3 linked regions of the Styela clava genome follow. The protein of the gene in region 2 purifies or fractionates together with the protein of the main gene of each other region. This does not show direct contact. Links are inferred from orthologs where the notes say so. Each region holds a gene or a part of one and is shown on either strand. Other genes may lie near its edges.

Evidence for each region.
Region 1: the proteins of dnaJ homolog subfamily C member 11-like (region 2) and armadillo repeat-containing protein 1-like purify together in Homo sapiens (affinity purification with mass spectrometry; 4 studies listed by BioGRID and IntAct, counting the BioPlex papers as one, with this or other methods). This does not show direct contact. The link is inferred for Styela clava from reciprocal best matches to the Homo sapiens genes DNAJC11 and ARMC1.
Region 3: the proteins of dnaJ homolog subfamily C member 11-like (region 2) and MICOS complex subunit Mic60-like purify together in Homo sapiens (co-immunoprecipitation; 3 studies listed by BioGRID and IntAct, with this or other methods). This does not show direct contact. The link is inferred for Styela clava from reciprocal best matches to the Homo sapiens genes DNAJC11 and IMMT.

What each region holds. Positions count from the first base shown.
Region 1 is NC_135261.1:2,118,179-2,128,787, forward strand, and holds armadillo repeat-containing protein 1-like, read right to left. Parts: upstream 4,775-10,609; 5' UTR 4,635-4,774; coding exon 3,762-4,634; 3' UTR 3,597-3,761; intron 3,279-3,596; 3' UTR 1,069-3,278; downstream 1-1,068.
Region 2 is NC_135253.1:1,588,839-1,599,923, forward strand, and holds the start of dnaJ homolog subfamily C member 11-like, read right to left. Parts: upstream 5,299-11,085; 5' UTR 3,834-5,298; coding exon 3,762-3,833; intron 3,611-3,761; coding exon 3,484-3,610; intron 3,095-3,483; coding exon 3,024-3,094; intron 2,406-3,023; coding exon 2,304-2,405; intron 1,921-2,303; coding exon 1,795-1,920; intron 1,370-1,794; coding exon 1,247-1,369; intron 596-1,246; coding exon 522-595; intron 280-521; coding exon 75-279; intron 1-74.
Region 3 is NC_135250.1:12,328,928-12,340,426, reverse strand, and holds MICOS complex subunit Mic60-like, read left to right. Parts: upstream 1-6,253; 5' UTR 6,254-6,455; coding exon 6,456-8,828; 3' UTR 8,829-9,253; downstream 9,254-11,499. Other genes in the region: FAST kinase domain-containing protein 2, mitochondrial-like, read right to left, coding at 11,270-11,491. UniProt on the Homo sapiens protein: Component of the MICOS complex, a large protein complex of the mitochondrial inner membrane that plays crucial roles in the maintenance of crista junctions, inner membrane architecture, and formation of contact sites to the outer membrane.

The sequences.
Region 1 (10,609 bases), on a different chromosome or scaffold from region 2:
ACTGTAGTATATGAACCAAGATGGCGGACTAGACGAGTGACTCCCGTAGTATTTGTATCTGAAACTTCAAATTATGATGCATCTGTAATTTATTTCTGTACATATGCATACCAAGATGGCGGATACCAGAACATAGTATGTGTACCAAGTTAGGGTTAGACCATAAATTCAGGTATAAATACTTCGGGAGTAACTTGGCTAGTCCCCGAACTCGTAATGAAACTAAATAAAGGAAAATTGTAACCTGGTACACATACTATGTTCCGGTGTCCGCCATCGTGGAGCACATACTACGGGAGTACCAAATAAATTAGTACAGACTTCAGTATATAAAAACTTAGATGATATAAACTAATATGAACAATCAATTATTTTATATTAGCTATCTGATATAAATCCAAATAACTTGAAAACCCAAACAAACAGAATGCAAAGATATCTGGAAGGCAAGCCATGACTTTAAAAGACTGGTCAACACTAGACAATATGGAACAGATGAAGAATTCACACATTCGATGGCCAGTATGGCCAACAGTGATGGCAAATTGTATGATTTAACAGGCAACATAATACAAGTAATCACCAATTCACTTTGGTTCTCAATAATTAATCGTGAAAAAAACTTGAAAAGTAAGCGAACAAACAGAATGCAGCAATACCCAGAAGTCGAGCGAACTCTAAATTTAAAAACGAACGTCCCCACCTACCAACAAAAACCCGGGATTCGAATCTCAAAGTTCGAGTCAAAATTACCTTCAACTTCTGAAGTCCAAGAATTTTTGTCAGCTTTGTAGTCTGAATACTTCACAGCCCTAGATATGAATCCCAACTGATCGATTGAGAAAACAATATCCTCGAAATCTTAATAAAACCTCTTTCTATACTAGAAATTATTGAAGCATGAACTGCCAGAACAATTCTATCCATACACACTGTAATCCATGCTGTCATTAATCGCTTTGGTGATTCCATTAGTTAAATTGAAGACAAATCTGGCATGATGATAATCAAATTCCAGTAGCTTCCATTGCAGTTATCCTAAACTTAATTCTACTATTTACCTGAATCCTATTTTATTGAAAACACAAAAAATCAAAAATTATGTCAAAAAGTGAAGATAAAAATAGTCCGGTCAATTATAGTACATTAATATTTTTCAACAACAAGAAATAAATGAAACAGAGCGTGACTAGCCAGAAACATACATGCCATACAGACATCTGCCAGTGCTGCTATTATTCGCTTTCATATTTCTTAGCGAGATTTAGATTGAACTGAAGTAGGCAAGACCAAATAAAATTGTACGTAGTGGCATATTGATGTTTGACAGTTGCCAATAAGGATTCAACATGCATTTTTCAATACGATAATTTATATGCTTTTTGCTTACTGGGAGCAAAGATGTAAACACAGGAAAAATGGCCACTGAGCAATGTGATTTGGCAGTATGTTTCGTAATGTTCGCCAGGGTTGTTCCAATTTAAAACATTTCCAATTTCCAATTTCAAAATTGTCAATTTTTTTCGGGGATCTTTTCTAGACTAGGTTACCGAATGAGAGAAATTTCAAAATTGTATTATGATATTTTATTTGCTTTTGGTAACCTCGCTTTCGTCATTAGCTTGCTAGACATAAAACACAGCAGTAAGAAAAGTTTCGAAAAAATGAATATTTCATTTGAAGCAAAACCACCAGCAAATTGGCAATTTCAATGCTAAACAGGTAAAATAAATTGTCAAATAAAATTCCTAAATTTTTTCAAAAAGCTAAGATGAGGTGAATAGAAATAATGGCAGTAAAATGATGATACATAAAATATGCTTACATTGGTATACTTCAGATTACTAATTAACAAAAATCAATAGAGCATGAATTGACAGGATTTTTGCACCATAATTGGGTATTACTTTTGCTGCCAGTTCACACACCATTGATTTTTAGGTTGAAATGAGGGTCAAATACACCAATTAGAAAGGACATCACATTTGTTCGAATATATATATTTGAGGGTCTGCAATATTCAGAAAGCAATTTAGCATGAGGCAAATAATAAACTCTGCCAATGTTTTGAATGTCCATGCCAGTTGTTCTCACTCAAACGATGGTGCGCGTCCCCCCCTCCCCCCCAGTGAAGCTAATTAAAAATAAAAATATTTGTTTGTTTTGGCCTGCTTTATTTTGGATATTTATATTTTTTTATTGTTTGGAGATTGCGATTCCATCCACCTACTTTCTGCGTGTTTTTTGAATGAAAAATATACTTTCTCGTTACTATCTGTTATTTGTAGACTATTGTCAGCTAGATATTTTTTAGGTTGGGCGCGAGACTTGTAAAATTCTAAAAAGGGGGCGCCGCTTAAAATGTTTGTAAAACCCTTATGAAGTGTATCTGTATAGAAATTCAAAACGTTAGCAAAACTTCAATCATTTGCTTCTTGCTGGTAGATAAATGTTCTGCAATATTTGTTTAATTTTTCTAAATTGTTCAGGCAAGGAATTTTTAGTTGAAACTACATACTACAAGCAGATTTTCAATTTGCTATTCCATTACTGCTAATGTTGCGAAATTGGTACTCCCGTAGTATGTGTACCAGGTTAGGGTTAATAAGCCATAATTTTATCCCGATTTTCCTTATTTTCGTTCTGTTATGAGTTCGGGGACAGTTTGTGTTAGCCAAGTAAATATACCCCCTGTCCATAGTTTCAGTCCCTTTAGACAACTTGACGTAAAAAAGGAAAAACAAAATTAGTTACCTCCATATTGGTACACATACTACTGGAGCGCCACAAAATCAAATATATTCAGAATTTCAGACCATTCAAAATTAAAATCAACTACAAGAGGGATTCTATGTCTATGCTTTCCTAACAATACCTTTCTTGATCTAGCAAATCAAATATTGAACATATTTCGAAACATTTCGATAAAAATTTGAAGTACAGTAAATAGGAAACAGTCAGAATTTCAGATATGGTGAATGAGAAACTATTATTTTAAGCTTTTAATGATAAACTCCCTAAACTGGAAAATGACTCAAATTAAAATGAGTAAAAGGTACAAGCTTGTATCGGACTGCCCCAGTCCTTCATAAATGCTAAATCAGAAAATATTACTATACTGAAAATAACTAGTATAAGAACTATTATCATTGAAAACTCGTTCGTGACGCAGTGGCAAAAAATGTTGTTCTATATCGATGACAAACAAAACCAATAAACTGAAATGCTGAAAATTTTTACCATGAGAATACCTCCTACAATAGGAGTGGAAGTGGTGACTCCTCTTCGGCCCATCAGGCTAATCAGGCTATGGGCCGCGGCCCATCAAGTTGTGTAAAGAAACTATTCACTTGGCTAACACAAACAGTCCCCAAACTCATAATAAAACTATAATGTAAAAAATCTGAACAAAATTTTGCCCTAACCCTAACCTGGTACACATACTACAGGAGTTTATTTTTTGGTTCGAATATTGACAATTTTGTAAAAATTGAAAATTTTGGTAAGATAATTGAATTTTTCCTGACGGGGCCGCGGCACATCAAGCTTGTGACCCCGGCCCATGGGTCGTAGAGGAGTCACCACCCCTGTAGTACAATAGTTCCCACTGGAAGATGTTCCATTAATATAAAATTCGCCCTACCGCTAACGTTTTTTTGGCAGTAATTTTCTGGACCAATTTTTCGTGGAAGGGATACTAATGGATGAAATTGCATGAAGATTATTTACAAAAGTCCGCAGTTTTTTTCATAAAGTCAGTTTCACCAATAAAGGTTTTTATTAACTGCACTCACTACGCTGCCGAACCAGGACTTTGCAAAACTTCCCACTGCTTCTGTATATCCAGGCCGCGCCACACTTTGTTTATTTTCTTCCTTATTAGGGGAATCCCCCAAGTCCTCTTCTAAATAGGGGGGTAACTCGTCTGATCTGTCTGCATCATCGAAGGAAACGAGGACTTCCTCCCCGCTTTCGTTCTTCATGACTTGTTTCGCTGTCATTTTCCGTGTGTTATGGATTGCGTGGACAAGACTTTCCGCATGCATGTCAGATCGGGCTCGGATAGTACATCTTTGCGACGCCATGTTAAACGTAATCGAAATAACGCCAGTTACTCGTAGGAGCTCATTTGTACACTCTTGTTTTTTATCCTCCCCATCAAGTCCTTCGATTTGGAGCATTATGACTTTAGCTTTTTTGTTACCCCCCAAGAACTTCACTGGTTCTTTGCCAGCTTTTCTAGCGTTTCTCATCCCAGCCCTGGTAATAACACCACTGTTATTTTCAACAGACACTGGACGGACATTACATTTGCTTAAAAACAAGATCTCCGACGCTAATTTTTTACAATCATCATTAAAATTTTCTTTCCCAGCAATTTTGTTTAGCAAACTCTGCAATCCGACAGTATTTTGAAAATGATGAAGCTGGCGTTCGTTGCGTACCGCTTCTTGTGCAAGGTAGCGCAATGCATGCAAAGCTTCAATAATAACCACTGAAGGCTGCTCATCTGGGTCAGTAAATATGAGCAAAGAATTTACGTCGTTCCGAAGCATGTATTGACGATTAGTGTGCACACTGGCAAGCCTCCGAAGTTCTTTGACAATTGATAATGAAGTTGCCGTCGTCGCCATGATGCTGTATGATCGATATTCACAAAAATGCCAGCAGAATTAAGTTATTTTATTAAACTACATTGAAAGTGCTTATACACAAGATTCAACTAACTCTAGAGACAGAGATAAAGGGTCTGGTATGGTTTAGTACCACATGCACTTCTAGTTGGCCTGGCTCAACAATTTTTGCATATGTCAATCCTAACCCCAGCCTGACTACATCACCAGAAAAGTACGTCATTTCCACGTCACAGTGGCGTAATGAGGCTCACCAAAGTATGCGGATGGTCGTCCAAAGCGCGCAGACGATCACCTGAAATCTAGCAAGCTATTTCTCTCGTTTTCTCGTCACTGGATCACGATAGGAAAGAGATCGCCGACTTCAGCGAGTTTGTTATCAGCGACGCAGATGCCATTTCGGGCTATCGTAATTTTTAATTTAGCAAGCCCTATGACGTGATGGTGACATAAATTTTGGATGTCATAGCCAGGTGGTTGGGGTTAGGTATAACTGGTCTCGTGTAGTTTCGTACCTAACGTACTTCTAGTAGGCGTAGCATAACAATTTTTTGATATGTCAATCGTAACCCCCATCTGACTACGCCATCCAAAAATTATGTCACTACGACATCACAATCACGTCATAGAGCTTGCCAAATATAAGTACGATCGCCCGGAAATGGCATCGGCGCCAACAATAAAGAACTGACTAACGTCATCGATCTCTCTCCTATTGGGATCGTAGCGACTTTGGTAGCAACGAGAAAACGAGAGAAATAGCTGTTCGATTCAAGTGCAGTTTTAAGTATTCTGTGGCGTCTGCAGCTGCCTCAAAACCATGGCGGTATTTCCATACCATGGCCGCTATGGCCAAACCTATGGCAACTGATTTTTTAGCTGCCACAAACCAATGACGAGCTGCCGTTAGCGCGGCAGCAAATTCAAAACCAATGGCAGGTAAAATTTTGCTGCCGTAACCACGGCAGGTGGGCCGTAACGACAGGGCTGTCCCTTATGATGACAAATATTGGGTAAGTTTTTCTTATGGATACAGTTTTGATGGATTTGGGGTTAGGGTTAGGGTTTAAGTAGATATAATTCCGCATGATCAATTGAAATCTGGTACATTATTTTGTGATTATACCGTAATACTGATACGTTAACTGAATAGCGCTATAAAACCATGGCTGCCACGGTTCATTCGTGGCAAGAGCTGCCATGAAGTGGTAAAAACTGAGCCTCGTTCGATTTTTCGTACCGGTATAGTTTGAGGGCTCTATTACGTCACTGTGACGTCGTAGTGACGTAATTTTTGGATGGCGTAGTCAGGTGGGGGTTAGGAATGACACGTGAAACAATTGTCATGCTACGCCCACTCGAAGTATGTTAGGTACCGGTACGAAACTACATAGGTAGGCTACCAGTACGGGGTAGGTACGGTACGGTACCGGCACAGAAATAGGATAGGATTTACATATTTATCCCGGGGGAGAGGAAAGCCGATAAGACAGCTCATCTATATGGTGAACCACGGCCTCTCGTCCAGTTACCGGTACCATTCCAAGTCGGGTACCGGTATGGGTTTAGTTATATTGTTTGTTTTCGGAAGCATGGACTTGACGGTGGAGGAAGCCGTAACCGACCAGCGGTTACGTGAACCACCCAACGACGGTGAGGAGTCCAGCAATCCTCTCGCACATAACCATCCCTGCATGAGATTCGAACCTGCGAACCCACGCAGAGTAATTAGAGGTGCGGTGGATAGCGTATTGCTAACGCTTAGTCCTTTGAGCCACACCGCCGCGCCGAAATATGAAAATCCTGACCTACCGGTATGCTACCAGGTAGCGTGGCCTATTTATTTTTCTCTCCCGTAATGATGGATAAATTATAGACACTTTAGGCTAAATATTTTGATATCAAATTAATCTAAGCTGGCATTCCATTTTAAACTTTTCCGTGGCAGAAAAATTTGACAACACGCAAAGCGAACAGACAGCATAATGAGCATAAGCTAAAAGCCCAAAGTGGTGAAATGCGAATTCTGGTTGTGTCATTTGCGCGAACAAACTTTGTAGTTTTGCGAGAACTTTGGGCGCGGAGTATTTGTGTAAACCGTAAATATTTGTGGTCAGCAATTTTTGCAGGAATGCATTAACCTATATGAGAAATCATTTTAAAAATGTATATTAAAGATAATAATCCTTTATGCAAATAGATTTTCGCAAGAACGAAATTTTACGATTATAAAATTCAATGGAAAACCTTCTGGGAGAAGACCTTACTATCTGTTAGTTGGGGCTTATCTTGTGCTGGATATTTTTGAGGTTAGGCGCCAGACCTTTTACATTTCAGAACAGTGAGATTGAAACTACTGCCGTTGAAAAAAAGCGAGCGCCCGATAAGGGACTTGAACCCTTGACCGTTGGATTAAAAGTCCAACGCTCTACCGACTGAGCTAACCGGGCTTACAATAACAACGAATCAGATTTGAATCTGAATTCAACTTGCTACGTTTGCAATTCTCATTTCAATTTATGCTATGTTACTCCAATAACACAGCACTCGCGAATTTTATCCACAATGAAGAATTTCATTCAAAGACATTTGAAATTTATTTATTAATTTTGCTTCCACTCAACACATTACTTCGTGATTGTTTGGGTGAGCGTGTTGGGTGACCGAACACCTACTACTTCTTTTATCAATACCTTTCCATCTAAAATCTGTACGTTTCAAACCTTACTCTAGGTTTGTTCGCTTTCCCGATTCTATAATCAGTTACTTTTACTTTTGTTTTTATCTATTTTTTTATCGTCTATTGCTGATTATGGAGTCGAAATAAACTTATACTTATACTTATACCTTAATCAAGCTATCTCGGCAAATGTAAACAAATCCCAAACGATAAGAATAGCCTAGACGTGTCGGCTGAAAAAGCTTTATATTTGAACTCACCATGCTAGCGGTGTGTTTATGTTACACAAGTTAGACGACCGAATGATTTACGTTGGTATTTTTTTTTTTATCTTTTTATACTTGTTCGTGTGTGTAAGATTGGTAAATTGGCACGTGTATTTTTTACATGTTTTGACTTTATTTAAAGCTTTACCGGTTTTACCAATAAATTTTGTGTTCATTGTTTGTGTAAGTTATTTTTTCGGGGAAATCAAACTAATTTTTTAATTATATCCACGAATAACTTGAAAGGTCCATGAAAGATTGCACAAATTTAATCAGAATTTACATCGCCATTTCGTGTCCAATAAATCTCAACAATGCAACGAAAGACAGTGAAACTTAGTTTAAATTGATCTGAAATTGTCCGGGTGACAAAATTCTATTTGTCGTTGTCGAACTATCAAAGCCCAATATTGCACCTCAAATAGCGAATCTCTTATAATGTAACCGTTCATTCAAAATATCGCACATGTTTGCAGCACCTTAAAGTGTTCTCCGGGTGAGGTTCTTTCTGGTTGTTTCCCCGAGCATTGATTTCCCTATTTATGTCCGTAACCATGACCAATTGGGAATACGTCAACAATGACGTAACAATTGCAATTTATGTAGCCGCTCGGACACTTCTTTGTCCAGACAGATATTGATGCACATGTGTAAACATTGCTTTCTTATATCGATTTTGGATTTAATTTGTCAGTTTTCAGTAGTGTTTCCGAAAATGAGTTGTAAGTTAAATAACCTGATTGCAATTATGTCTTTTGAGCAGCTTTAGTTTTGTTGAAATATATTCAAAAATTAGTCCTAGAAAAACTGTGATATAAAAATATATGAAGAACATGTAAACCAGTTCGCAAGCGCCAACTCTCCTAAACACTTTTAAAATAAGCATCAAAATTTTGGTAAAATAGGGGAAAGTTTTCTGGGGTCAAGGGTCAAGGAAACACCCATGTCTTTCCATAACTGTTGGAGGGGATGGTTATTTTAGGCGAATTCAGTAAACCATTCACGGACATGGGCCAAGGAATAGTTCACCGGTTATTTGTGGATACATAAACTTTGTGCTGCTGCGAACCCGGTTAGCTCAGTCGGTAGAGCGTTGGACTTTTAATCCAACGGTCAAGGGTTCAAGTCCCATATCGGGCGTTATCTTTTCCCTCGACGATTGTATTTCAATCTCACTGGTCGTAAAATACTAATAAGGAAATTGAGATAAAAAAAAAGAACAACAACGGCATAGTAACGAAACGATTGATATAAAAGTTATATACAACACTTCAACCACTTTTTGAGTACTGAAAAAGGAAAATCGATTTGTTCCATTAGTCACAGATAGGAGTGATTTTTCTCGGCAATAACTATCATCCCAAACAAGCACGGGATTTCTCTCTATATCATGCTCTCTTTATCTATATCATGATAAATTATAGACACTTAGGCTAAATATTTTGATATCAATTCAATCAAAGCTGGCATTCCATTTTAAACTTTTCCGTGGCTGGCAGAAAATGTTGACAACACGCAAAGCGAACAGACAGCATATTGAGCATAAGCTAAAAGCTTAAAGTGGTGAAATGCGAATTCTGGTTGTGTCATTTGCGCGAACAAACTTTGTAGTTCTGCGAGAACTTTGGGCGCGGAATATTTGTGTAAACCGTAAATATTTGTGGTCAGCAATTTTTGCAGGAATGCATTAACCTATATGAGAAATCATTTTAAAAATGTATATTAAAGATAATAAACCTTTGTGCAAATAGATTTTCGCAAAAACGAAATTTTACGATTATAAAATTCAATGGAAAACCTTCTGGGAGGAGACCTTACTATCTGTTAGTTGGGGCTTTTGTGTGCTGGATATTTTTGAGGTTAGGCGCTAGACTTTTAACATTTTAGAACAGTGAGATTGAAACTACTACCGTTGAAAAAAAGCGAACGCCCGATAAGGGACTTGAACCCTTGACCGTTGGATTAAAAGTCCAACGCTCTACCGACTGAGCTAACCGGGCTCACAATAACAACAAATCAGATTTGAATCTGAACCCAACTTGCTACGTTTGCAATTCTCATTTCAATTTCCCAAAGATCTAAAGAGGAAAAATGATGAGGCTGTTTATATGGAACTATGTTGCGCCTACAACACAGCACTCACGAGTTTTATTCACAATGAGGAATTTCATTTAAAATTTATTTATTAATTTTGCTTCCACTCAACACATTACTTCGTGATTGTTTACCTTAATCAAGCTATCTCGGCAAATCTAAACAAATCCCAAACGATAAGAATAGCCTAGACGTGTCGGCTGAAAAAGCTTTATATTTGAACTCACCATGCTAGCAGTGTGTTTATGTTACACAAGTTAGACGACCGAATGATATACGTTGGTATTTTTTTTAATCTTTTTATACTTGTTCGTGTGTGTAAGATTGGTAAATTGGCAAGTGTATTTTTTACATGTTTTGACTTTATTAAAAGCTTTACCAGTTTTACCAATAAATTTTGTGTTCATTGTTTGTGTAAGTTATTTTTTCGGGGAAATCAAACTAATTTTTTAACCTATTATATCCACGAATAACTTGAAAGGTCCATGAAAGATTGCCCAAATTTACTCAAAATTAGGCTTACCATATATCTGTGGCAAAAAAACGGGACAGTACGGATTGGGCAAGCCAACCTTTGTTCGATTTCGAAGCTCAATATTAGTGAATTTTTTCCATATCCTTGTGGGCAGAATACGGGCGTCAAAATTAGCTCTTAATCATATTAAAATATCCACTATTGGTTTTTGACTTCATTAAGGGAAATCGCTCTTTTATTCATTAGAATATTTTTTTCACCTTTGATGATTCAGCGACAGTACGGTTGGATGTTAAATTAATGCATGGTGTTCATACTTCTTATCATACTATGGCATAACAGTTTCTATCTCTATCTTAGGGTTGCCAACCGTCCTTTATTTCAAAGGACAATCCTTTATTTGAGATTTTTGTCTTTGTCCTTTTTAAGATGATAATTGTCCTTTATTTTTTCCAATATC
Region 2 (11,085 bases):
TATTAGTGCCAAAAATGTTGAAACTTTCCTACTGCTGAATTACAAATCATATATTCAATGAAGTAATATAATACCTGGAGTTTCCCAAATATCTGAATTGCCTTTTTCTCATATATTATACTCGTTGATAAACGATCGACATGTCCTTTAGTCAATTCTATTGAACCAAACAGGTTTTCGCTTATTTTGTGACCAACGATAGATGTAACACCCGGTAGTGATATGGCAATATTCGAGTCATGAAAAATTACGCTAGCTGGTATGTGCACCGTGGCAAATCTGAAAAAATTCAACAGTGTAGAAAAAAGGTAATTAAATTATAAAGATATGCACGTGAAAGGCACTTCTTCGAAGAAAATGAAATTCAGTTAACGGTAGGGATAGGACATATTCGTTAATTTGATGATATGGATATCTTATTTTTGTAATAAAAAAAAACATCTGGACTCTTTGATTTAAAAATGGATCTGAGTAAAAATCAAATCAAAAGAATAGTGAGAAATATATACGGTAGTACTTACAATCCTTGAGAAATTGTTCTGTATCCTCGTAACCCAAATGTCATGAATTTCCCATCTGAAGCGCCAACTGTGAGCTAAACAAATAATTTGGATTTTATAAATGTGTATACCAGGGTGGTCCAAGATTGTCGGCTCCGCGGGCCACAAAATTATTTTTGCATTGTTTGCGGGCCACAAAAGTGCCAAGAATAGGTAAACTGTGCAATACAAAACCAACACTTTTATTGTGCAAACACATAGTTATCAGGCATAACTATTCCAGGCTAATAAAAGCAGCATTCGATTTTTAGTTTTCTCTGAAGCCTATATTGTTAGCATATTGTTATTATTATTACATTCCCGACCAAAAAGTTAGAAAACCAGATAACAATTTAGACTGACAAGCACATTATTTAACTTCGCTAGTTGCCTCAGCTAGCCATAACACTAGCCAATTCAGTGACATTAGTGACGACAATATGTCGAAAGATTTTTCTGATAATTTCATGACGAAACCACACGAAATGCGATATTTCGATTACTCACCGAATGTGAGGCGTGCCACAGATAATGAAGCGGCAGGCCACATGTGGCCTGCGGACCTGGGTTTGGACCACCCTGATGTATACTATAAGAATTTGTTAATACCATTGTTTTATACAACTTTAATTGAGAAGAAAATGTAAAAGCATAATACATGTTCACAATTCCTATTTCATCAATACAAAATGAAAGTCATATCATACCTCTCCCCACATTAGCGGTGAGATTACTTGTCGCAATGCAACAGATAGATCTCCTCTACCATGGCCATTCTTCGATTCAAGATTCCCAGATATTGTTGCAGTGTGAGAAACAGTGAGAGGTGCCTTAAAAAGTAGATATGAAGGTATTTTGACACTGCACATCTCAATTCTGACAAAACATCGACAATTGAACTGGGAAATACAGCTCCAAACACAGAGAACCATAAGTCAAAACTAATAGTCTAATATGACGAGAGCACTTGGCTAGTCTTGTGTAGTCGAAGATATTTGTTTTCCAACTTCTGATTCTGACCATTCAAAAATACAACGGGTTAAGAGAAACAAGGCAGTCTCTGAATTCAACAACATTCTGACTTGGGAACCAAGTCCTGAATCTGTGATAGGAAACTTTGAGCTACCAAAATGCGCCGACAAAGAATCACAACGTTCAAAGATTACTATATAATGGCTACATTTCTACATGAGGAAGCGTTTTTATGAAACTCAAAAAGCAGAAGTAACATAAATAACCGCCTAATTGCTATTACCTCTACGCTTTGAGACAAAGATAATTTAGTAATTTCAGGAACTGCAACTGAGTCATAAAATTCATCTTCTTCATAAGGTTGTCCGTCAAACAATGATGTTGCATTCACATTCATTACAAATTGTCCCTGCAGCATAACAGAGATTTATTTTTTTGAAAAAGCAATCTTTAATCAATGATTAAATGCACTATATTAAAAAAATACGACTCAAGATCATGATAATTGCTTCGCGTAAGATTACATAAGTCAATTAGACCAAAAGGTGCTACAGCACAAGCCAGATTTAGAAACATTTGAAACAATAATTCAGGCATGTTATTAACTTATTAGTATTAGAAACAAAGCAGACGACAACATTGGAAGATGGTGCTATAGATAGGTTTTCAAATAACCGTGCCAACAATGATTTCATAACATTCATTCTTCAGCCAGCACGCACATAACATGAAGTCATATTCTATTTTTGTGAAATTTGAATGTTACAATATTTAGAGAAAAAGGTAAATTACAGTTGGGTGAGTTCTCTCTTCCAATCTTTGCATTTCCTTTCTTCTTTGTAACCTTTCATATTCTTCTTGAATTTCTTGTGGTGTTTTCTTCCTCTCCACAATCTTAAAAATAGAGGGACATCATACAATGATAGCAGTTCTCATAAAATAAGACTTGTCAGAATTAAGGATGAGCAGAAACAAGATTTTGGGTACTATTTCACCACTGATTTCGTATTTTCTTCGATTCGATATCGTAGGTTAGGTTACGCTTACGATAAGTTAGGTTATGTTGTTAGATTATTTCCTCACTTTTAAAAAATACTGAACCGAAAAAAACAGACATCTATTCAGCAGAGCAACTAAACTACTTAAACTACTTTACAGCACCTAGCTTGGAGATGGGATTTTTTATGCTTCATTTTTTTTCTTCCTGTTAAGATCTTCATGTTGAGATCTTTCCCTCACCTAGTAAATCCCATGTACGACGAGGCAAATTTGTTTTAATTAGGGTTACTTTCGATATGATAAATACAAAGAGAGTGGATACAGTATGGTGAGGCTCTACCTAAACACAAAGTTTGTCGGAATAGTGTGAAGGAGTAAATTGTTAGTTACCAAACATAGATTTGGACAAAAGCAATTATTTTATTAAACACAACAACAAAGTTAACATCAACAATTCAGCAAAACTAAAATAAATCCCCTCAGAGTTCAACAAGAAACAAAAAAATCAAATACCTGCCATTCTGCTTCTAATCCTTTTCTCCCATACATATCATAAATGTATCTCTTATTTGGGTCGCTGAGAACTAAAACATATTGATCATGAATAACAAATAAAATTGAGAAGACACAAACAGCCAAACGCAAAGATGACTCATCTACAAGCAAAGTTAGGGAAAACCAATGGAATGTCAAGATATACTGAGACTATATAGATTTATAGTAGTGCATTATGAGGAAGCAAATGCCTATTGACGAGAAGCTTTTGATGTCAGACCGACTAAAAAAAATTTCTCCAGTACTCCCAACAATTGCATCATCTCGTATTTTCTTCAAAATAAGAACGCACACAGAATGGTTTGAATGTTTGAACATCTTCATTTTCTATTGGATTATTCCACAGCAAATTTTGGCTGCACATTATTCAATCAACTCACTTTTGTTTGGCAACAAACTAAATTGAATTCACACATACCATCATATGCATACTGGACTCTGTTGAAAACTTCTGTAGCTTCTCTCCTGTATACTTCATTATGTTTGTCTGGATGATACTGCATACATAATCTACGATACGACGTCCTCAACTCATCTTGACTAGCCTGTGACAATCAAATAAGAGGGACAGCATGAAGCAGAATTCAAGTTAAATCACAAATCCAAAGAAAGAAATTTTTATTTCAAAAGGCACTTAATACCCAAAATCAAATATAAAGTTCAATAAATAAAAGCTAAGACAAAATAATGATGTACCTGTCTGGACGCATTTAGAAGACTATAGAAGTCTTCATTATCTACTATATCTTCTAATCCTTGTGCAGACATGTTAAATCCAGAATTATTAAATAAAACTTTACGCAAAAAAATACCTCACATATTGATAGAACCACTGAAAATAGCAAAGAACGTTACTATTATTAAACATACAGTATTATCATTGACAAACTTCAAGCTGAATTATTGTTCACTGACTTTTGTTCATTCTCGATGCAGTGAAAAAATACAAAAAACTTTGAACATGAAACAAAAAAGCAATTAATTGCAAAACAGTTTGCCAAATCATTGTATTAGTGTTAACACTAATACAATATTATGGCGAACTGCTTTGCATGTCTTGATGTTAGAGGTTAGGACCTAACGATTTTAATTGACAAGAAGAGATGTTATTTGGTGGAAGCTCCTGCATCTTGAACCTATTTAACCTGGTAATCAGGATAATAGCATTGATGATTTTTGACGTAGGTCTTACACTGCAACACAACTATAATTTACAATTTATTGCAGATTGGAACTTAGAAAAGTGCAATGTAGTAATTCCATCTAAGAGAGAAATTCTTAAATAGTCAACTGAAAGTCTTAATATTAATTTATTAATCCAGTATCAGTTCACAGATATGTAAAGAAAAAATGTTCCAATAATTTCACTCACAAATAATATGTCAGGATACTGATATAACATGAATTACCGGTATATATGGAATAAATGTCAAAAATGTTTCCAATATGAAGCAGGAAAATATAGAAATTATTAAATAGATTACAGTGTGTTATGTAACTCAATTCTCATAAGCATATAGGAACATAGATTCGATTCAAAGAAATATACTTCAGCCGAATATTCTTGAGCACCGGATATGCACGCTATAAGTTTTTTGCAAACACTGACAAATTAGTATTTAGTATATCTCTCAACTTATTTTATATAGATCTACTGAATGTGAATCAGCAAATAGTTATTTCAGCCAACAAGCAAATGTTGCATATTTCCAAACATTTATGATATATATGTACTTAGAACCTATAATACAAGTGCAGTTTTAAGTATTCTGTGGCATCTGCAGCTGCCGCAAAACCATGGCGGTATTTCATTACCATGGCCGCTACGGCCAAACTCATGGCAACTTGACTTTTTAGCTGCCACAAACCAATGTCGAGCTGCCGTTACCGCGGCAGCAAATTGAAAACCAATGACAGGTAAAATTTTGCTGCCGTAACCGCGGCAGGTGGGCCGTAAAGACAGGGCTGTCTATAATGGTGACAAATATTGGGTAAGTTGGAACGTTTTTCTTATGAATACAGTTTTGATTGATTTGGGGTTAGGGTTAGGGTTTAAGTAGATATAATTCCACATGATCAAATAAAATCTGGTACACTAATTTGTGAATATACCGTTAATACTGATTACTGAATAGCGCTATAAAACCATGGCAAGAGCTGCCGCGGCTCGTTCGTGGCAGGAGCTGCCATGAAGTGGTAAGAACTGCGCCTCCTATAATAAGCATTAAAATTTAATCTTCGTTCTCTTTTGATTGCTCACTTTTTGTCCTTTGATGGCGACTTATTAAATACATAGCAACACATATTGATATTAGAGCAGCTAATAAATAGTCTAATATTACTCTGGCATTACCAGATAATGCCATTTTTATTGGCTCATCATCAAATGATCTGGATTCAGAATGGGATTTTGACGCCTTTTTGTTTTGATATCTTAGAGCTCTATCAAACTCGGGGTCATGCCTTGGTATATTATATTCTCCGGATTTAAATCTATTATAATCGGATGATTTTCCATATTGCTGGAAATCATATTGTCTTCTTGTGGACGGATTGCTCAACACCTCATAAGCTTCAGAAATTTTCAGAAAATCATCTACATTATCCGATTGTCCAGTATCAGGATGGTGTTCTTTGGTTTTCTTGATGTATGCTTCTTTTATTTCAGATGACTTTGCATCACTGGATATACCAAGTGTGTCATAATGAGTTGCATATGTTCTTCGCGACAAACAGCAAAAATTCCTTGAAAAGTGGAAGCATTTTCGTACACTTTTTTGGCAAATTTGTGTCTTCTGACAACACATATTAAATATTGCAATCATTCTACATAGACTATACAAATTGACAAAAGTTATTCATAGCGTGAGGATTATTTCTGTTAAAATGAGAAACAGAAATGAATCAATTTATTAATAACGCTAAAAACCTGACAACCAGCACACCAAACCGCCTTATACTGTTGTAGTCCAGTAGGTCTAATTCAATTCGTTTATTACTCCAGACCGCTGTGGTCCATATAAAAATGCCCATAATACCGTACTGTAATACAGTGTGGTTCAAACTTGGTCATTACTGTGGCCGTGTCACATATCTGCATCTGGTGTTATAGGTAACAATTAGTCATAGTAGTAGGGCATTTGCGTGTTGACTTTGATGTTGCTTACTTACAAAAAAATAAAAAATCTTTGGTAAATCACTATCGTCATTGAATTGAGTTGCGTTATGACTAGCTGAGACAATCAGTAGCAAAAGCAGAAAAGTGATGTTGATAGGGTAGATCAGGGGTTCCCAAACCGCTGCCTGCGGGCCAGATCCGGCCCGCGTAAAGATTTAAAATGGCCCGCCGAGCTTACGTGAAATAGTGTTCAACAGATTTTATTTCTACCTTTATGTGATCTAGATACCGCTAATTTATGTCATTATCCGAGTTCAAGCACATGTTTATCGTAACAATTCAATTATACCAGTATATCAATTATGGGTACCGGTGTTAGGATGACAAAGGACAGTAATTTAGTTATCAGCCATATAGGAAAGCTCAAAGATGTCAGAAATCAAACGAAAACTAGACTCAGAAAACTGACATTTCTTGAATAAATGGCAGTATTCGTATTACTCCATTGAAAAGTATCAAACTTTAGAGATTTGTCTACTTTGCCAACGAACTATTCCAGTTCTGAAGGAATACAACATTGAGCGCTATTATGAGTCAAACGAGCATGTTTCAAAAAAAAGTCAAATGAAAGTCTTGGGTGCTACATTCTTCCGGCCAGCGAATATCTTTCTGATTCTAATTTTGGCCCGGCCCGCGACCAATAAAGTTTGGGAACTCCCGGGGTAGAGATTTAGTAGAGTGAGATTTATTGCCACAAAAACAAAATCAACACTAATATAAACAATAATAGATAATAATACAATAAAGAAAATATTTCATCAGTAATAAACAGCGATTGATTATTGTTTAGATGAATAGGGGTCTAATATAATTTAGTACCACATGCACTTACGGTGGGCATAGCATGACGAATTTTGCCTATGTTCTTCCTAACCCCCACCTGACTATGACATCCAAAAATTACGTTACTACGACGTCACAATCACGTCACAGAGCTTGCCCAAGTATAGCTACGATCGACCGAAACGGCATTTGAGCCGCTGATAACGAACTCGCCAACGCCAGCGATCTCTCTCATATCGCTGTATCGTTATCGTTGCGACCAACGAGAAAACGAGAGAAATAGCTTTAGGCCGCGAGCCGAGGCCCTGAAAAGCGCCTAGAAAGTGAGTTTCGTAGCGCACATCAGGTAACTACCTGAAAATGATTTTAAAATGTTCCTTAAAAATTTAGTAACAAATATTGCCTTGTTCCCACTTCCAAAAGTTGCACGTTTTACGGAAAAGAAGCTTTTACTACAAGAAATATGTGTAGGCTTACCATAAATCTGAAACAAAAAACCGGGACGGTGCGATATGGCAAACATTCGGCCAGTCTTTGTAATATTGAAACGTCTACCATGTCATTAAGGGTATATACGGCTGTAAATTTCTACTGATCATTGAATTAGGAAAAACACAAAAAAATAGTTTGTACGAGTATTATTTATTTAGACCAAAAGTAGGGACGGACTAAAAGTAGGCACTTGCAAATTAGGCACTTTTTTAGGCACTTATTTAGGCACTTTGGAAAAAAAGTAAAAAGGGCGTAATACCTTTTAAAAACATAATTAATTAGTTAAAAATGGTCAAATTAAATGTTGAAAACGCAAATTGCAACGGGCAAACTCAATAACAATAATTAAAACGTAGTATAAAAGGCAGTCGCACGCGCTTGGTCACCACATATGCTAGGCACATATTTAGGCACTTCAAAAAATAAATAAAATGGCAGTTATCACTAATAAAAGACGGAGACATAAACATATTACCCACACTGATTAGCCTGGGTAAATATCCAATAGATGCATTTGAGTCTAGTACTGGAATTTAGAAATAATAAATTGTTACCGGTAGGCACTTATTTAGGCACTTCGGAAAAAAGGTGAAATGGACGTAGGAACTCCTAAAAAGGTAATGAATTAGTTCAAAATATTTAAATTAAATGTTGAACGCAAAAATTGCAACAGTTAAATCCAATAACGATTTTAAAAACGTAGTATTAAAGGGAGACGCACGCGCTCTGTCACCACGTATGCTAGGCACATATTTGGGCACTTCGAAAAAAGAAGAAAATGGCAATTATCACTAATAAAAGACAGAGAAATAAAAATATTACCCACACTGATTAGCCTGGGTAAATATCCAATAGATGCACTTGAGTCTAGTACTGGAATTTAGAAATAATAAATTGTTACCGGTAGGCACTTTTTTAGGCACTTATTTAGGCACATCGAAAAAAAGGTGAAATGGGCGTAATAACTTTTAAAATGATAATGAATTAGTTGAAAATTGTGAAATTAAATATTGAACACGCAAATGGCAATATGTGAACCGAATAACAATATTTAAAACGTAGTATTAAAAGGAGTCACACGCGCTCGGTCACCACATATGCTAGGCACATATTTAGGCACTTCGAAAAAAGAAGAAAATCGGAATTATCACCAATAGAAGACAGAGAAGTAAAAATATTACCCACACTGATTAGCCTGGGCAAATATCCAATAGATGCACTTGAGTCTAGTACTGGAATTCAGAAATAATAAATTGTTACCGGTAGGCACTTTTTTAGGCACTTCGAAAAAAAGGTGAAATGGACGTAGTAACTCCTAGAAAGATAATGAATTAGTTCAAAATATTTAAATTTAATGTTGAACGCAAAAATTGCAACAGTTAAACCCAATAATGATTTTTAAAACTTAGTACTAAAGGGAGACGCACGCGCTTGTTGTTGTTGCTGTACCAGGTTATGATTTTTAAGTTTCAGGTATATATTTTTGTGTTTGGCCGAATCCCATGTATCTCTTGAAAAATTCAGGTTATTATATATGGAGAAAATGTATGCCCAATATTGTGGTATTATCATACTGTGAGGCATAGAGTTATTGTATAGATCTTTGTTAATAAGTTTCATTTTCGATCCTAAAGAATAGAGGCATTCATAATGCCAAAATTGGTTTGGGATTTGACCGGTAGCAAAACACTTCATCTTTTCGACCTGGCACGCTTCCACTTTCGACTTTACGTCCACCATTGCTATTCCGCCATCCGCCCATGGTTGTTTTAAGGTTCTTCTTCCTATGGCTTCTATCCTCTCAGGATACCATAGGTATTTGAATACCTCACTCTCCGCGCGTCTCATGGTTTTCAAAGAGATTGTTTTGACTCTTGCGTGGAACGTAATTATGGACATTATCAGCGAGTTTATAGCAATTTGTTTGCCATGCCAAGTTAAAAGTCTAGGCTTTAAAGAGTTTAGGGTCCGAATTAATAAAGTTATGATTTCGTCCCACATTTTTACTGGTTTCCTATGTCCAAATTGTATGCCCAAAATTTTGACGTTTTCTTTTATATATTGGCTATACGGAGATTTTGCGATTAGGTTATGTGCCGAATTGGTGATACAGAGTATTTCAGTTTTGTCCTGGTTATTTTTTTGTCCTGAGGCCAAATGAAATTTGTCGAGTTCCCGAAATATTTCCTGTATTGAGGTCTGGTCTCTTACAGCAAAGGTGATATCGTCGGCATACTGATCTAATTTGTGCTCATGACGGCCTAATTTTATTCCACGGATGTTTGTATTTCGAAGCACAGATCTTGCAAAGGGCTCAACAACGATAGCGTAGAGCAACATACTCAGGGGACAGCCCTGTTTTATGCCGCTGCAGATGGTAATTTTTCTCGTCAGCCGACCATTAACGTCAATGCGACTTTTTATATTCGAGTACATACTTTGGATGATGTTAAGAGTCTTGCGACCAAGTCTAATGTGTTGCAAGACATTGAATAGGAATTGATGGTCAACCTTATCGAAGGCTTTCAGGTTGTCAATTAATATTATTGTTCCGGGGGTGTTCTTTATTTTGCAGTGCCGAATTATTGCATCTATATTATAGTGAATGTCATACATGCTTCTGTTAGGAAGAGAGCATTTTTGGGTCGGAGTGATTATGCGGTCCATGATGGGTGTGAGTCTTTTTATTAAGATTTTAGAAATAATTTTATAGTCCATATTGAGGGTCGTGATTGGTCTCCAGTTTTTAAGGTTTGATTGGTCATTTTTTTTATATAATAATTTTACTTTTGCAATTTTGGAAGATTTTGGAAAGTGGCCGAAACTAAAAATGTTATTAATGAGCTGTGTAAATTGGCGTTTGATTAAGTCCCAGAAAGTAACATAAAACTCCTTTGATAATCCATCCATACCGGGTGATTTGTTGTTTCTCAAAGAGTTAACGGCCTCAAAAACTTCCTCGCTGGAGACATATTGTTCAAGAATGGTATTTTCATCCGCTGAAATTTGAGTGGGTCTCATCATTGATAGGTAATGTTACTGTTGTACGTCATTGGTTTGATGTTTGTGGCCCCAAAGGTTAGTATAATAGTTCTCCACCATGGATAGTACTTCCTCCTCCTCGGTGACCAAGGTGTTATTTGGAGAAATTAACCCTTCTATTGTTGTTTGCTTTGCTCTTTTTTTGATATTCGCATAAAATATTTTCGTTGGCCGTTCATTTTGCTCTAGTGTATCGATTTTCGCCATTAATAGATCTAATTGTTTCTTTTCATCAAGTAGTATTTTCAACTCTGCTTTTAGTTTTTCGATTTTGATGACGTTTTCTTTTAACCCTTCTTTTATGGTAATATCTATTAATTTGCGAATTTGGGAGATATTATTTTTCTTGTCCTTGGTTCTGTTTTTGGCATATGCGATCGAAATTTTTTGAATTTTATGTTTCAGATGATCCCACCAGTCTTGCAAGTTTTCATAGTTTTCTATTTCCGTCAAAGCAAAATCATAAGAGTTTTTTATTATTTTAATATAGATCGGGTCTCGGTAAAGTACAAGGTTGTCCCTCCA
Region 3 (11,499 bases), on a different chromosome or scaffold from region 2:
TCCAAAACTAGAAATATTTTCGCCGTAAGATTTAATCGTTAATTTCTGAATGCGATATATTTCGGTTTTGTCAAGTTTTTTTTTTATAATGCTAAGAGCTATACTTGGGCTTACCATACGTCCCGGTTTAGCCCGGACAGTCCCGGTTTTGACGAGCTGTCCCGGCGTCCCGGCCGGTTGACTCAAATGTCCCGGTTTGTCAGTACGGCTGTCATGGGTGAAAAATTCATATTCCTTAATGTTACAATTTTTTTTAACGGTGGCAGCCCATTTACCACTGTTTTGCGACACACTTCGCTGGTTCAGAGAGTAAAAAATTGCTCTATTGTTATGTCACAATCGGTATATGTTTTAATGCGTTTTCTGGCGTTAACTACAATGCCGTTAAGTTGTCGAAATGCCATAAAAGAAGTACAAATTTTCTAATGAGTTGAAAGGAGATTTTATATAGAGATTATTTTGTTTCGTTACAGGCGCAAAAAGGCAGGTACTACACGTAAAAAAGACGCCGAGTAGCAAAAGCGAGCGGAAAACGGACGCGAAAGGCGACGAGAAATATGTATGTATGTATGTATGTATGTATGTATGTATGTTTATTCGTCTCGTAAAAGCAATATAAAAGAGTAAGTACTTATAAATACTGAAGACGGGATGTATGCACAAGACCATATTGGCCTAAAACACAGATGTGCGGCATACACCCCTTTGATTTATATAAATTTTAATAGGGTAAATCAAATATGTACAATATGGTCCTTTATACAGGCAGTTGTGCGAGGAGGGTGGGTGGAAGCGGTAACAGGGATATGGGTGGAGTGTACAAAACTGTTTGTACAAAGGAGTTTGTTAGACAAAACAACATCTATAAATAGAGACACAACACAACATGAAACACAATGCATATGAATATAGTAATAAAAAATGTTTCTAAAAAAAAAAAAATTAAGAATTTGGATGAATGTACAATACCATTGAGTGATGATACCACATACTATAAAACGCGGGAATGGTCAAGTTTAAAGGGTGTGTACATATATGGTATGCACCACTCAAGGGCGACAGTGTTATAAGTGGTCTATGGCTGTTCTGGCCAAAATGTGACCCTACAGGTTTTGGCGAAATATGATAATAAAGGTATGTATCAAATGACTCACTATTATAAGGTTTTTTTTGAAATTCTGGATTCAGCCAAAAACAATGAAGTTTCAAAAAAAAAATAAAAAAAATTAATAAAAAGCATTTCCACAAAACCTATTATGGTTGCATTTCAGCCAGAAGATTAGAAAGGTATAAAGGTACAGTGGGATAGGGAATGATAAGTTATAAAGAGAAGCCATTTTACCATGTCATGGATTTTCCAATGTAAATTAAAATAATAAAATTATATGGTATCCCGGGATGAGCAGAAGAAAAAGTGGTAGCAACAATGGAAATAAAATGAACAGCATGCTACTCAAACAAAAACCATTGTCCCTACTCCCTACTATTTGAGCATTCTATCTATAACCTAAATTGCTGTGCTTTTGTTGTTGTCTAATTACGTATGATAATGAAATTAGAATGGTGTGCTAGTTATTAATTCAGTCCATTGTTCTATATTGAATCCGGGTGAAGTATCCTGTGGAGTTATTGAAATTGTCAGCTGGTCTATGGTGACTGAAGAGGAGGACAGTTTCCTGATAGTTCATTCAATCCAAATAATCAACAGCTCTCCTTTTCAGTGTTGAACAGACCTTAAAAAAAATAATCTCCAAACAGTAACATGTTCAAAGCAGAGAAAATTGCTAATATGATGATAATATATATTGTTTAAGTTTGGAACGAAATTCTGAGTTCGATTTTGAATTTTTGATGTCATCGGGTAGGGAATTCCAAGCTTTTGGTCCACATACTGCGATTGATTCTTGTGAAATACTTTTACTGACAAATGGAATAAAAAAATTATCTTTATTTCTGCTGTTTGAATTTGGGTTTGCTTGGAACAGGCTGTTCAGGCTGGTCGGAAGCTCTCCAATGTGACAAGAGAACATCATATTACATAGTTCGAATTTAGCTAAATCCACAACTCGTAGTAGCCTATGCTCTTTAAATAAGTCATCAATTTTTTCGCGATTACCTCTATGAAAAACTCTTCTAATAAAGCGATTGCAAACACTTTGAATTTTTTTGAGAATGGACGATTGGCGATGAACATAAGCTGAGGCACAATAACGAATATGGCTTTCTATCAGAGAGTGGTATAGAGATATTAAACAAGATGTATTTAAGTAGTTGGCTATTTTCGTAATGGCACTAAGAGACGACCTTGTTTTCGATAGAACCATATTGGTGTGTTGTTTCCAAGACAATTTATCATCGATCATTACACCCAGAAAGCGAGTCTGATTAACTCTTTCTATATTTATTCCATTTAATTCCAAATTTTGTTGCAGAGTTGGACACTTTTGCTTCGGGGTGCTAAATATCATATATTTAGTTTTATCGACATTAATAGTGAGTTTGTTCGCAGACAACCAAGCTTGAATATTTTCTAAGTCGGTATTTGCCTTGGTCAAAAGTTCAGGCAAGTTTTTGCCTCGAAGATATGGCGTTGAGTCATCAGCAAAAAGCAAAAAGTATGTGCATTGGAGCGTATCAGGAAATACAATCTTTCGCCTGTAGTCTCATGGAGTGACGTCAGAGTCGCCTATCATGTTGTTTCATGTCATTGGTCCGAGTAACAGAGAAAAAATCATTCTGCGATTTTGTTGATAGTGAGTATCAACGGCTATTACAGCATGGCAACACTCGGTTTTCCCTTTATTACCTGCTTTGCAAAGGATTACGGAACTGTTTGAAAGCTTGATAAGTTATTCAAATTCTCAAGAAGGATGTCCTACTCTTATGCTTAAATGTTCCAGCGTACGAACTTCACTTGAAATTCATCCTTTGCCAGCTCACCTACTTCAACAAAATTATTTTAATTTTGAAAAAAGATAATACTAATGCCGTAGATCAGGGGTCGGCAACTTACGGTTCCAGGGCCGGATTCGGCCCGCAGAATATTATAATCCGGCTCGTGACGCTTCACTAAATTATAGTAACAAAACAGCCGTTTTGACGATTATATTTTTTAAACTAAATTATATTATAACCTAACAAGTATATAATTCACAACTACTCGTTTAATGAGCCTATAATTTAATTATAATTAGACAAATGGCAACAAAACGCAGAAAAATGATGCGAAGTTCAAAGGGTTCAATGGCGCTGAAAATATTCAAATGCAATTTTTTGCGATGCAATGAGGATGTATTACTGCTTGATTTTTATTATAAAAAGTATCATCCATTCGGTTCCAGCTTTCTAAAAATATGTACGGCCCGACAATGACTCGCAACCCTTAATTTTGTCCCGCGAGCGACAAAAGGTTGCCGACCCCTGCCGTAGATGTCAGAGGTGAAGCTAAATTTGAAGGAAAAAGGGTGAAGTCTTTTAATTCCGTCGCAATAACTTGTACTTCTGGAATCCTTGGAACGCTCTGGCGAAATCGACGTAACTGTATTTAAAAAGAATGTTTGCGGTATACAAAGCAGCATGATGAAGCCTACAATGCTCCCCGGGCCCCACATATGGACAAATTCGAAGGGTGATTTAAACTGGACTAAAGTGTTTGGTTTGCAAAATGGATAAATGATATGTTCGGTTAGCTAGTCAGGTTTTGAATAGAGATGCACTTTTCGACGAATACTGATAAAGAGATATTTATCTGAGCATGGTTCAAATGCAATTTGGCTCACTTTGCGGTTGAATTTAAGTGGACAGAGATGTTTAACGTTTTTTCTAACAGAAATATTAGCATTTCGAATTTGCAGAAACTCATTGATTTTGTTTGCCGGAACATCGGCATCTGTTGAACAGATTTTCTTCATTGTTAAAATTTTCTGGCCTGGAAGCAGGTTCAGAATGCCAGAAGAAAATATAAAAGCACTCGTAACCTGCAAATTTAATGGTGATGTCTCTTGTTATCAGTTTTATGACAAAATCAAAACAAGAATTTTTGAGAAGGGTTCCATCTGCGAACAAATACTTTTGGTCTAAATAAATAATACAAACTATTTTTTTGTGTTTTTTCTAATTCAATATTACAAAGACTGGCAATCAACCGAATGTTTGCCAAATCGCACCGTCCCGGTTTTTTGTTTCAGATTTATGGTAAGCCTAGCTATACTATCCATCAATACAATTTCAGCAAAAGACTTTAATGGTAATATATACAGCCATTGCTCTTACAATTATGCACTCAATGGGCTTATTTTGTTGGTAACGTTTTTTATATAGTACAAGAGAGCTATGCTCAAATATATGGACACGTAGCATAGTGGCAAATTGTGATGGCGTCATAGCACGCAAAAAAACGATAAATGAAAGTGATAGCCTTCCAGCGAAAAATATAATTTTTAGACACTGAAAATTTCGATTTCAGCCTGCTTCATGCTACGTCAACTTAAGTGTATTTAGAGAAAGTGGATGGGCATTACCAGTCTGGATATTGCCTATTGTTTTGAACACATTTCATAGTTCAATTGTAAAATTTTAATAAATTAAACAAAAATAAATACTTGTAGCAAACTAACATGTATGGTATTTTGTGGTTAAATTTACTACTTTTTTGAGAGTTACCGTTTGTAATTCATTGTAGTTGTAATTCAAAATAAAAGGAAAAAATCAGGCAGGCTGCATGTGAAATTTAAGAAGCTTACTAAAGTTTGGCACGTTTACAATATTCGTATAATTGGAACACAAATTAATGTTTAAAACCAATGACTATGGCCTTTGATTTAAATAAATTATAAGCTATATATTAGAGACTATGTTGGGTTAATTATCATTACATAAGCGTGCTACCGTGTTTTCCCGATAATAATACCTACCCTGAAAATAAGATCTAGCCTGAATTTTAAAAATGATTTTAATATGAGCCCTCCCGTTAAAAGACCTAGTCAACAACGCAAATTTATTTTTACCCAGTCGATAGCAAGAAATCCCTCCTACACGTTTTAAATGATTGATAGTCTATGTTTTACAGTTATTTTGACTGAAAACGTGTTATTCAAAAGTAAATAGATATTAGTTTTCATATTTTGTACATTTAAAAATCTCGTAGTTCTATACTTTGTAATTTTGTTTTTGATAAATGAAAATATAAGACATCCCCCGAAAATAAGCCCTAGTGGTATTTTTTTGGAAGAAACTTGAAATAAGACCCAGTCCTATTTTCGGGGAAACACGGTACGTAATATCAACTTAGATTTTAGACAGAGTGTTCTTTTCATATTCCACGGGAAAGGAAAGCACATATGTTTTGTTGATCATATGATTTCGGACTGAAGACGTGCGCTTACTGGCTTTTCCAAAGTGCAAATTTGATAAACCAATTTAGTTTTATTATTGCACACTGTTCATTAGATCAACGTGTGCCGCAGTCGATCACGCCATGTATGCATAGAAATTGGGAACAGTAACCGCAAAATGATAATGGAATCGGATGCGTTGTTTACTGTCTTTTTCAATCTGCTGTCAATACAAAAATAAACATTTCGTTTGTTTTATTAGTATATTTTTGCTTTTGTTCACGTTTGTTTTTGGTTGACGAATCAATAAATCTCTCTTTGTCTATGTGCTTGTAGGAATTCAATACATTCCGAGCATCTATCTTCTTTTGCAATTTAAACTCGCCACTACATTTAATGCCTCAACAAGTGAGAGGAGACAACAAGAGTTTAATTATTTTTGTTACACCATCCTTTACTGCAATACATCAAATACGTCTACTTCTACATTGCCATGCATAAGCTTTACACTTTATACAAATTTTCGGACCTCCAGAAGTATGTGCATCAAGATGACGTACAACCTGAACATAGTGTGTGTAACAGGTTAGGGTTCAGGTTGTGCGCCATCTTGGTGCACATACTTCGGGAGCGCCCAAATTTTATATGAACTACAGTGTCTGCGGTAGCGTGAATATTGATTTTGCATGCGTTGGTATTACGATTCGTGTAAAGAAGTTGACCAAGAGGATTTTTAAAACTTCCAAATTTATTTTATATTCATTGAATTCCAGGTATTTCATCGGTCAACTTATGTTTGTCGTAGGTTATTATTATTTATTTACGGTTAAACCGTAGTAGTATATATTTACGGTTAAACATCGAAAAGATTTGATTCATGCCCATTAATTCTGTCATCGTTCCACCGTATTAGCAAAGCCATTATATAATGGCTCTGGTATACGGTAAGTCTTCATTTACGGTTCCACGAAATGCGAAATTTGAGCAGCGACACTCGCAGCGGTCACACATGCGACTTCACTCCGCGAGGTTTGTTGGTTTTGTTTCTTACAAGCAGACAAGTGTCAGACGCCGATGGACTTCGAATCTCAGTGAGCGGCGTGTATTTATTTGTAAATCGTCATGTTGCGGATTAGAAATCGGTTGGGATGGCCTCGGAGGACTTATCAAAATATTACCGGGAGAAGGAAGTTATCAACTACCGCATCTAACTCTAGCAGCCCCGTTGTTATTGCGGGCGCAACAGTTTTATCTGGTGGTTTAGTTGCAGTTGGTGCTGCTTGGCAGTTTCCGTCGTTCAGAGAAAGTGCTGAATTGAATTTTCCACCTGCAAAATACTTATTTAATCCCATTTTGGGGCCGCTGAATAAATCGATAGAAGCTGTCCCGAAAATTAAACAGTCCAACAGAAAAGTAGGTGATGTCTTTGAATCAAGTTTGAAAGAGGCAAGAAAAATTAAAGAAAAGACTGAAGCGAAGTTGGAAGATGAAAAAGTGACTGCTTCTCATGATGAGAGACAGGAAATTTTATCTAAACAACCAATTGAAGATGAAAGTTCTGCAACCGGTGGTATTTTGTCAGAGTCTGAAGTGAATATTCCCCAAGCAGTATCTGAACCAGTTCCAGAAATGCCGACTTTAACGAATGATGAGGTACAACCAATAAAAGAGCTAGTGACGGACGTTGAAACTGAACAGATTGGTGAAAAAGAAATACAGAATGCACCACAGTTGTTGCCTGTTACAACACCAAGTGATTCTTTACCAGATAAAGATGGGAATCATTTAGAACGTACACCTGAAGAAGTCTCACATAATATCATAAAACTGGAGGAAGATGTTATTGCAGATACTGCTGCAATATTGACAATACTGGATGACGCTTTGTCATCTTGTGCACAACGTTGCTTGGAGGCTATCGATAGTAACCTAGAAGCATCTAAAGCGATTGCTTTACATACATCTCTTCTTAAAAGTGCTATGGATGAAAAGGAAACCAGTTCTGAGGAAAAGAAAAACCAGTGGACGGATGTTTCAAGAGTTCTTGAGCAAAAATCGAGACTCCAGCAGGAGGCAGAAAACCTAAGCCAAGATGCTCGACAGGAATTATCAAAATTGGGTGCGATTATATCTGAAATTAAACGGTTCAATAATTCAGATGCAAATCAAAAAATAATTAGTGCTGAAGAAAACTGTAATGCTATGCGCAAGGAATTAGAAAATGCTTGTAGAGAAGTCAATATTAAGCTTTCAGAGTCACATGTTATTTCACAATACAAAGATTTGATCGAAACAGCAAAAGAACAATTTCGTCAGGAGCTTATGTCTGTCATGCCTGATGTTAACGTTGAGTCTGGGTGGCGAAAATTGAGCCAGAAGCTTTCTCAAGACGATCTTAATGCCCTGATTGCCCATGCGCATCGTAGAGTTGATCAATTGCAAAGAGAACTTGCAGAGGAGCGTGCAATATCAGTGAGCAGAATGGAGATGGCTGTACGAGCAGCAAGGGAAAAGTGGGACGAGCAGACTGTTATAGAAACTGAAAGAAAAATGGAATTGCTAAAGCAGGAAAGTGAAGTCGAATATGAAAAAAAACTTGAAGAAGCAAGACAAACTTTTGAACGAGAAATGAGAGTGCAACTGAAACGGCAAGCTGCAGCGCATTCTGAACATCTTGCTGACATGCTTGGAATACAGGAAAAGCAAGTCAGGAAAGAACTGGATATGGAAATGAAACAAAAACTGGAAGAACAGGAGGAAAATTTCTTAGCACAAATGGAAAAGGTAAAAGAAAAGTATGAAGATGAATTGCATGAAATAACGGATAAGTTTCAGTTTGATTTGAACAAAGCACTTTCAAAAGTAGCGGGTATTGAAACTGCAATTGACGGTCGAGCACACATTGAGAATGAGTCTCGGAAGGCACAAGAGTTATGGCTTGCTTGCGAAGCTCTTCGAATTGCTGTGCAATATGGTGATGACGGTAAACCAGTTCCTCTGGAAAAGGAATTACAGGCTATTTCACAAGTTGATGGTATAGAGTCGCAGATATTAGAAGTAATCAAAGCATTTCCCGAGCGTGCTAGCGACTCTGGTGTTTACCCTGAAGAAGCGATACGTCTTGCTTTCAAGCAAGTATCAAAAATGTGTAGACGTCTGTCTCTGATCAACGAAACAAGAAATTCATTTTTTTCATATTTTCTTTCATATTTAAAGTCACTTTTAATCGTAAATCGTGCCCAAGCAGAGCCTCCACAGAATTTGGATCCCAAAGAGTTAGATACTTTTAAAATTTTGTCCTATGCGGCGTATTGTTTGGATCGTGGTGATTTGGAGCAAGCTGCAAGGTTTATGAACCAACTTAAAGGTGAATCAAGAAGAATTGCTGAGGGATGGCTTAAAGAAGCTAGATTATTGCTTGAAACCAAACAAACCTTGCAAGTTTTATCAAGCCTTGCATCTGCGTCAAGTATCGCCGCAAATCTAGAAGTATGAGAATGCTCGAAATTTATAGCAGCATCTTTTTTCATCAAACTCAGATTTACAAATGTTTATATCTGCATGTTTTGAAATTTATGTTGTCAACTGTAATATTTTGGTGAAATGCTATTTGATTTTTTTATTTGTCAGTGAGGTTTATCACATCTTTCTCCAGACCAGGCTCTGTGCAAGCAGCCATTGATATGTAATGAGCCATGGAACAGTTAGAATTTCCTTTTCAAAATAGCCCAGAAAATTTGGAAGCGTTTTGTGAAGTAAGTGGTGGGCAGAAAGATCTCAAACCTGTGACACCAACATAGTGAATAATAAATCTTATGTGTTAGCCACTAGGATCAGGGTGCATGCTTTAATAAGTTGAAAGTATTGCTTTCTTTTTTGATTATTTAAATGTCAATCTGATAAAAATATGTTAAATCTGGTGCTTGGTGTCTTTGTTATAGTGAAATGTAAAGGATTTGGTTGGGCAACCCCGCAATTCTGTTCAGTATGAATTTTCCTTCTCTTCGTCCATGAGGTAGGGATCAATCTACAAAACAAGGGCTCTTTGATAAAATCTAGGTAGTCGCAAACTATTCGACTGGTATGGAAGAAACACTTTTCTTGAGAACCCTGTCAGAGCTATTTCACATGATAGCCCCATCCAAATGACATTAAAAAGAAATTTCTTACTTTCAACATGGGTTTATTATTTTGAGTGCAACATTCAACATTAAAAACGTTTTGAATAACATAAATATAAGGCAATACAACAACAATGATGATCTCAAAACACACTTCATTGATAGAGCGGACCATGCTTAAAAGCTAAATTCACACAGGTTTATGAGCTATGATTTAATGGTTTTAGGCAGTTGCAACAATTGTTGATTTCATACCATATTCAGTGGTGGGGTTCAGGACCTGTTTCTGGAATGTCATTGTAATGAGCGAACCCGATTTTGTTTAAATATTGGATGACTGCAGCACATGGGTAATATGCACCCCGGCTGAAAACTGTTACCGGTATTGCATTTGGAGTTTCGAAAGTTGTGTATTAACCCTTTCCGTGCCGTACCCACGACAAAACTCGCTAGATTGCGGCGGGTACGTTGATGTACTCTACTGTTTTATTTAGCAATCGGTCACAAACTGTTGGTCTAGTTTTTCCGGGTTTTAGTTTATTGATAAGAAGTCTTCTTCGAGATTAACATAAGCGACGGTAAATCTCGCTTTCGTTTACCATGGGAATTTTATTTGCGGCGGAACGAGGGAGTGTTTTTGAAATTTATGCAAATTCCGGTGTTTTTTGGGTGGTAATAGAAGACATATTATCCCTTCCATCTACCAAAGTATTTTGAGTTAGATAACGAAATTGCTACAGCAATATTATATTGTTTGCCAACCAAGAAGCGGTAACAGTAAAGGATTTAGCGAATATTTCTATTTTTTATCACGGTTTGAAGTTTCAACACCCAGGAAAAAAAATGCCTTTTTTCTATCCGGTTTGTGACTCAGACCACCCCTAAATTTTTTTTCAATCGCCAATTGCAAGCTCTTTAAATAAGCTTTCCAACGAGCCGTCAGTGGGCAGCAGAGGATCATTACTTTTTCGTTAGTCGATCGATTAGTTGTGGGGGTACAAATGCATAAAGTCGGCGTAGCAAATACGATTATATAATAAAAAATAAAAATCGCATGGAAAGGGTTATTTACATAGGAAAAATCACAAGAGCATTTTGTTGTAAAACAAGTATTTGTGATTAAAAAAGTTAGGTTTATAGGGTTAGGGTATGCTCTTAAATAACGAATCTTTTTTAAATAAGGCGATTTTTTTCAAGTTTTTGAATTCCACCACAGCTTTCATTATACTATTTCATGATCCATGATGTTAGGGATCTAATGTTATCATAATCTAATAGATTGTAGTTTCCATGCACCGTTAAAATATGATTTTGTTCTAAAAGTATTCAAGGAAGGAACTAAAGAAATCCTAATCAATTAAAATTAAATAGATAGGTAATATCGCAAATATAACACAGTGCATTACAAGGTGAAGATGGCATAGCTAGTAAACATAGCTTCTTAAAAAATGTAAAAGTTAACAGTGCAAGGAGATAAACAGTACCATATCAATATTTGACAATACGAAATGTTTTTGTAGTTTATACTTTATATCATATGACATTTTTTTGAATGATTACATTACATATGATTTTGACTTTTTAAATAAAAATAACAAGTTAGTTTCTGTATTCAAAATATACAAACATGATGATTGAAGCATTGGATTATCCAAACAAACTTTTGAGCTCTGTATGATTGGAACAAAGTATTTGCCATATTATCTTGACCATGTATAGATGAACATTACTGTCCCACAATACATATATATTTATAAACACTGCATGCATGTAATAGACATATACTGTCACTACATATCACAACATATTTATTAATTATTCGACCACATCATCAGTTTTTTGATTGAAAATCTTGTTTTGCAGCAAATTCATCTTGTACTCGTTAGTTTTGTTGTCCCAATCATAATGAGGAATCGTGATAACTCTGGCACCTTGCGCTCTCAACAGACGTAGAACTAATCTTGTTTTTCCAATAGCGTGTTTGGATCCGAGACAGAAACGAGATCTGGGCAGAGGGATAACTGCCACATTTTGTACCTGGAAAT